Linked DNA regions of Drosophila melanogaster. Changing the gene in region 1 together with any one later gene gives a genetic interaction. Each region holds a gene or a part of one and is shown in the gene's direction. Other genes may lie near its edges.

Region 1 (3,757 bases):
CGTCCGATTCAATATTTCCTGTTTGCCAAAGGCCCAAAAATAAGGCACAATATTAAAAGTGTTTTTTCAAACGAAAAACATTTTCGAAATTCATAAATTAAGGCAAAAATTGCTTGGGCGCGCAGCGGAATTGTTTAAAAACGCTCGGAACGAGAATGAAGGCGAAAATAGATTCGTCCAGACATAGACGAACTGATCAAGTTCCCTACGAATAACGAAAACATTTTGCCCCAAGCTAACCCACTGCCCTTCCGCAGTCGCCGTTTTTTCGATTTCCCCCCTGGAAGCCATATTCTAAATTTAAATGGGGAAAAACAAAATAGAAATCATCGAAAATACATTTCGAAATAGAGCTAGAACAAGCCGTGGCAAAATCAAAAACAAGCAACACAAACAGAAACACAAAATGCCAAGAACAACGAGATGAGCAGGGAAAAGCAACATTATTTTCAACAATATTTTGTTGTTGCTCTCCCTGCTGAAAGTTTATAGAATCGGAACATACGTATAGACAGTCTATGTATATCTAAATTCATATACGATATATATATATATATATAGACATGGTTTCGTGATCGAAACGTTTTATTCGTCTTTCGTTCTTGGCGAAATTCGAAAATTACTTTCAACCAAAGTTGCAAGGCGTTTCGTCTACGGGGCGTATGCGTGATTTTCAGTAGGTGTGTTGCAGCGTCATTCGCACCGTTTACCATTATATATAGAAATTTATATATATATACATATATATATATATATATATATGTGTATGTGTGTATTTGGCCATATTGCGTATATACATTATATTTAGACTGACGATGCCAAAGTAATTCAGCTAAAACATTGATATTAACAAGACGGATATAGGCTATATGTTCGTACGATTCGCTTGGAACACATTATTCGAAAGCTTAAAGTTATGTCAGCGGCCAACATGCAAGATAAATAGCCGAACAACATGAAACAGATCGTTAAAATGGTTTTTCTAGATCAAGTCCAAAGTGGCACGGTCTAAGAAAAACCTTTTAAATGAACACAAACGGAATAATTACTTTAAGACCTGGAAATGATATTGGATGGATTAAATAGTAATAATCTTCAAATTAAATAAGTTAAGAATCTATGGGATTCCCCAATTTTATCTAATATATTTTCAGCAATATATGTATGTAAGGGTTATTAACCTATTTTTCTTAAAAACTGCAGTCTTCTAAAGAAAACAGTAATTTGTATTCAGTCAACTCATCGAAATATTAGTTATGTTTATGAGGATAAATGTTCGATAGGAGTTATAAATCTAATCTTTAAAATAACGCTGCATGCACCTATTTTAAGATAATGTTTAGTTTCATTAGTATTTGCTGTTGAAGTAGATTACATTGAAAATGAATATATATTCAATATATGCATATCCCAGCACAAGCTTATTCCCTGGATTTTCCAGAATTAGCATAATATTTTATAGTTTTTTAACCAGGGCTGGCGAAACCAGAGATTGCAGCCAGTCGCCGGCCCTGATTTTTTCATTGCACACCGATTGCACCGCCATCGCATAGCCTCCCAACTGGAGCAACAAAACCTATTTTTATCCATTGCATTGAATTCCAAGCGGCTCCGTTTACACCAGCACACACATCGAACTGCAGATACGATATTGTGAACACCGATGCGGATACAGAGATACAAAGATTCTCCAAGCGGTATTTTTCATAGGGTGGTTTACGGGTCTGCAGTTCCGACGGGGCGGGAGTTACGGGATCGGGATCGCAATCGCAATCGCAATCGCAATCGGATTCGGATTCGGAATCGATTCGGCATGCCACTCGGCTGCGACGATCGTGAGCCGAACACTTTTCGGTATCCATTTCGATTTTGCTTATGGGCTGTGCTCTGCCATGTCAGTTTTGGTGGGATCTATTTTTGGATCTCACGCCCAGATACATAACCCCGGCCCCCGAGCCACTCTCGCTCTCTCTCGCTCTCGCCCGTTCGTGAAGGACGGTGGGCAGGTGGGCGGCTAACGTTTGGCTTTCGGAACATAACGGAACCGAGCCGAACGAGACGATGCGATACGATGCGATCCGATCAACAACGATCCGTATCTGTATCCGTTGGGTGGCTAGCCGCTAGAATATAGTCTGCCGTGGATCGTCGGACCGTTCAGTCTTTTTGTGTCGTTCAGTATCATCCGATTCGTGTGATCGACAGCATAGCCGAATTTTTTTTCTTTTTTTTCTAATTCCTTGAAGGTGAGTGCTTGAAGCGGAGCAACATTCAAAAAGCCAAGAAAAACATCACCATCAACATTGACAACGAGCAACAATGCAAGAACAAGCGGAATGGAAAAACAGAAAACTGCAAAATGCAAAATGCAAATGCTAATGCTAATGCAAAGAAAAACAAATGTGAAATCCTCAGTCCTTTCTCATATGCTATACATATATATATATATATTTATATTTATATGTATGTCTGGACCTGACCAAAATCGTGTGCGTGTGCCCAGAGGATTCAAACATTTTTTTTCAAACAATTTTTTTGCTATTTTTTTTCAAGTGATACAAGTTAACAAGTGTCTAAAACTGCATCGAAATACTTTTCAACATTATTTTGACTTGATTTTGCAATGAATTTTTTTTCACGGATTGGCTTGCCAATTACGTAAGAAGTTGCCGTGTGTGTGTGCGTGTATGCGTGTGTGTGCGTGCCGAAAGCTAAAAATGTATCCCGCAGATACAAGATACATTTCAAAAAAGCTAAAATCGCTCGAAAAGTGCCTGAAAATAGACCACAGCGAGAACAAGAGATCCCGAGAGAGAGAAAAATCACACACACACACGCACACACAGAAAATCATACACTCACACACAGAGAAACAACACGCACACGTCGCCTACGTAAAATAACTGGATAAATGCTCTCCGAACTTTTGGATTTCATATTCGATACGAATATCGTTGCTCCAATTTGACTATTTTTTTTCCGTGAACATATAAACAAATTGTACGGCAAATCATAAATAGCTGCCATATTTCTCGCATCCGAGATTCGTGTATCTATCAACAGGTTTATTTTTAAATCAGTCAGATACTAGATACAGTAGATGCCATCCCACTCGCTCTCATTCTCAGATGTATGCCGAGTGGAGACATCGACTATGCTTAAATTCGTTGTGCATTTCTCGCAGTGTACATAGCCGAAGGTCGTCATTGTCAGAAAATTTTCACGCCTTACCTTCGCTAAGGTGCGCAAATTGCTGGGGCTAAATATACGCCTAGCTCCCTAGCAATTCGTTCTACTAAGCCATATGGCTTTGTAGGTGTGAAAACCCCAAAATATACAACTTCTTCCAAAGGATATAAAATCTATAACGGATCTCCTTTTGACTCATTGTACATTATTTTAGTTCATTGCTAACAGCATAGATAATTTGTTTAACGATTACTTTCAACGCTAGTAGACTTTTTAAAGTTATATATGTACTTTGTGAGGTGTTAATTCTTCGACTTCATTTCAGTAAAAATGTATACATATACATACTATACGGATAGGCTAGCAAATAAATTCTGATTAATTCCTCAAGATGTAGACATGGTTTTTCGTATGATGAAATCTCATAATGTTTACTTAAAGATTCCCAATATGTTATTCAGCATAAAATGTATTTTTAAAATGCCATTACAACGATCAATCATCTGATCAAGTATGCATATGTAAAAGTTACTTCTATACTAACGATTTAACTTTTAGCTTGATTAAA
Region 2 (3,757 bases), on another chromosome or scaffold:
TCAACCCGTTTCATGGGGTCCAGCGTCATAAACTTGCCCTCCAGAAGACGTCGTTCCTGTTGGGTAGACGGCACTTTGCTTTTGAATCCAGAAAAGAGGCCGTGGGAACTCATGTGCGACATTAAGCGCGCCCACACTCGATAACTTGAGGTGCAGTCCTTATATGGGCACTCATAAAATCGCTGCTGCGTGAATTTGACTTTATGGCTCCTCGTGTGCCTCCTGTAGGATCCTTGGTTAGCGAAGGACATGTTGCACTCCACGCAGATGAAATCGGATACATTGTGAACGCTGTTCTCGTGGCGGATAACGTCGAAATAGCGTGGGAATATCTGGTTGCATCTGAGGCACAGAAATTCCAAATCCTTTGCGCCGCACATGGTCTTGTTGTGTTTCATCGTCTTCATGTGCTCATGTAGTTCGTGTAGTTTGTGGAACTCTGAACCACAATCGCGGCAATAGTAGACCGGATTCGGGCGGGGTTTACAAGAATGCATGCGTATGTGGGTCAGGATTTCGAGCACATGGCCGCAACAGGTGCACAGCATCCGAGTGGCTTGGGTCTTGTCCTTGAAGAACTTGGTGACTGCCAAGCCATCGCGTGACAATCCCACGCTGAAGAAATCCACGGACGCGGTTTTCAAAGATTCTTCGACTACGATCTCCATATGCTCGTTTTTTTCCAATGGATCTTCCTTCACTGGCTCCGCGATATGCTGATCGAAAGAATTCTCCTCATCATTCTTTTCCGTTTCTACCTCTTCTTTGTTTGATGTCACCTCCAACTTGATCTGAAATGCAGTGGAGTCGTCTATTTCGATGGGCCTCCGGTGAAACTCGTCCTGGGCCGTGCCCCACTTCTCCAGGGATTCGCTTATGCGCAAAGTCTCTCCAAAGCAGGGCTCGCAAATGCAGTAATTTTCCCCCAGGATAGCAGCCTAAAATACGTGGGTTTCTTTGCATTTGACATCCATTGGACTCACTTTCAGAACTTACATCAATTTTGTACCAATCGAAAAGTCTTTGCAGCAGTTTATTGGCCGATTTGAATTTGGGCTTCTCGAGATCGATCTCAATTGCTCGGTTATCCTTGCATAGTTTGCAAATTTCCGCTTCTGTCATTTTGCTGATATTTTCGAGGAGGTCCAAAAACCAAGTTAATAAAAGGCAAGTAATCAATGATTTCTTCGATGTCTGCTAATCGATACTATCGATAGATGTTTAATTTATCGATACAATGCAGAGCTGCTTAATGTCGATAGGCAATTGAATTAATCGATTTTTAATTTACGGACTTAGAAATTTATGCAAATCTAAAAATAAATTAATTTTGATTGATTTGAATAGAGATAGTTGTTCAGATTTAGGAGTTAGGTGAACGATCTGAGATCGAAGTGAATTTTCTAAAGATGCCGCCTGCATATTGAACGGTATAAAAGCTTTCAATGTACACAAATTTGCCTAACATTTGCTAAGAGAACCGGAAAATATTGTTTAATATCATAATCGAACAAAAACCAATTTACAAGTTTAGACTGTAGTTTTTTCATTACCTAAAAAAGTATTTGTGTAATTATTTGAATGTTCGAAACCCAAAACAAGAAAATACAAATAATTATGAAAAAAGTAAGAAGTTGACTAATTGCAATATAAATTTAAAAATTAAAAAATGTTGTAGTGAATCCAGGATACCAGGAAACTAGTTCCATTCGCCTCCGATAACTTCCGAGTATCGATAGGCTCTATCGGCCATCAGAATCGCGATCTAGTTCGGTTCGCGTGCAGCAGAACGCAAAGTACAACAGGATTTTTTTCGTTCCGTGTGACGTGAAAAGTGCAAATAGTAATTGTTCGAATTAGTTTAAGCCTAGCTAACTAACTAAATAAATAGCCATGGTAGGTAGTTGTTGATTGACTGAGATAAAATGCTGACGCAGTGAGCGGTGTCAGTGTGTATGCATGTGAGCCGCGCGTTAACTGGTGTGTGTGTTTTTGTCGTGGCAATGTGTGCGTGTTAAAAAAAGCGGCCGCCGCGTCACAATACAAAATTGTGCTTCGATTTTTCCTAATTGCATTTCGATTTCTCCCTATTTCCGTCTATTTCCCGGATCAGTCGTTTGCGGAAAAGATAACGGGTCTGCTGGCACGGCCGAATCAACAAGATCCAATTGGACCGGAGCAGCCGTGGTATCTCAAATATGGAAGTCGATTGCTGGGCATTGTGGCCGCCTTCTGTAAGTTGTAGGATATATAATAAATTATCTACTAGCTTAACACATTAAAAAGTTGGGAAAAACATCCGTGACATTGGGCGGCCCAAAAATATGTTGCATCGATTTTTGTGTACCACCCTTTGTTGTTGTTGCTGTTATCTATTCGTAGGTGTAGGTGTGCAGTTGTGTTCGTGTGTGTACGCACGCTCTCTGACATTGATAAAGGAAAAACAAGAGAGGGTGAGTGAGAGGTGAGAGGCAGTGAGAGCGGAGAAAGGAAACATGGAAAAGACAACACAAAAAGGATACACAAATTCACACACTGAAAAAAATACTAGTTATGTATGTAGCTAAAGTTTATTTTTACATCAAAATCAAAGAAATGTAGGGTAAAGTGTGAGATTTCCAAATGAATTAAGAATGAAACGTATAATTTTAAGGTAAAACAAAGTCCAAAAAAGGTTTTTTTTTGTTTTGTTATTGAAATATAAAATAATACATTCACCCACTTAACTAAGTGGGCTTCCTGCACTTAATATCTCTTATCTAACCATTTCGTTTGATAACTTTTTATTTCGTGTGTAGGAAATTGCAAGTATGTATAGGAGCTTTTCTGTGTCAAGTTTGGCGCTCTGCTTTTTCTTTCCGCATCGAATGTAATTCTCTGTGCCCATTCAATCGAAATTCGCACTGCCTTTTGTTGTATCAGCAGCTTCCCTCTTTCCATCTCTATTTTTAACTTTGTTTTACCCGTTTGCGTATTTGCTTTTTTATCTGGACTCAGTTAACCTTAACCCTTAGGCTGCCACACGTGTTATAAGTGCAATATCGTAATAAGTCTATGCGTATCTTAAATTCAATTGGGGCATCTTTTTTGTAATTTCATCATCACCTTCTGAATGCATAAAAAAATGCAGTTCAATAAACTTTTAAGTAGTCGTGATCTACTTTGATTAAGTCCAAGTCAATCTTTTTAATCGCAGTTGGGGTTTTGATTATGCTATTGGGTTTCGTGTCGTTAGAATACTTACAAAAATTATTTTAAAAATCAATCTAAACCATACATATGTATATAAATGAAAATTCCACAGAAACAATATGCCTCATTGACATATTATTCCTGGAATTTTTAGAGATCAACCAAAGGAATATTTATTTATTCAAAACGTTTTTAACATCTTTTTTTTCTCTGTACAAAAGCATCTTTTGTTGTTGGATATTCTGGCAATGATTCTCACTTAGTGAAATGCAGAAATTGCCCAACAAATGAACACCATCCACTTAAAATCAATATAAATAGCTGAATACCTCAATTAAGGGATCACAACTCACTCGTCCGGCTTCCACAATGAACCGGTTTTGTTTGCGTAAAATAAAACCAAAGTCTATGATTAATAAATAATTTTATAAGCCGTTCCGTGGAGCACAACGACTTCTTCCCCAGGTTGGGTCAGTTTGCCTGGCTTTAAGAACCGCAATAACCTCAAAACCCAGATCCGATTTCGCAAAAGGAAAAACCTAACTTGCGAAGCTAAATATTAAAA

The links. A genetic interaction does not mean that the proteins touch.
Region 2: of wupA (region 1) and fwe, changing one suppresses a phenotype caused by changing the other (phenotypic suppression), as found in Drosophila melanogaster (one study listed by BioGRID).

Annotation. Positions count from the first base shown.
Region 1 is NC_004354.4:18,115,196-18,118,952, reverse strand, and holds the start of wupA (wings up A), read left to right. Parts: upstream 1-2,127; 5' UTR 2,128-2,246; intron 2,247-3,757. UniProt on the Drosophila melanogaster protein: Troponin I is the ATPase inhibitory subunit of troponin in the thin filament regulatory complex. Involved in the development and maintenance of muscle and nervous system. May also be involved in the cytoskeletal apparatus.
Region 2 is NT_037436.4:15,814,413-15,818,169, reverse strand, and holds the start of fwe (flower), read left to right. Parts: upstream 1-1,759; 5' UTR 1,760-1,893; coding exon 1,894-1,896; intron 1,897-2,113; coding exon 2,114-2,234; intron 2,235-3,757. Other genes in the region: CkIIalpha-i1 (CKII-alpha subunit interactor-1), read right to left, coding at 1-938, 997-1,122. UniProt on the Drosophila melanogaster protein: Transmembrane protein which mediates synaptic endocytosis, fitness-based cell culling, neuronal culling, morphogen gradient scaling, and calcium transport. Regulates synaptic endocytosis and hence couples exo- with endocytosis.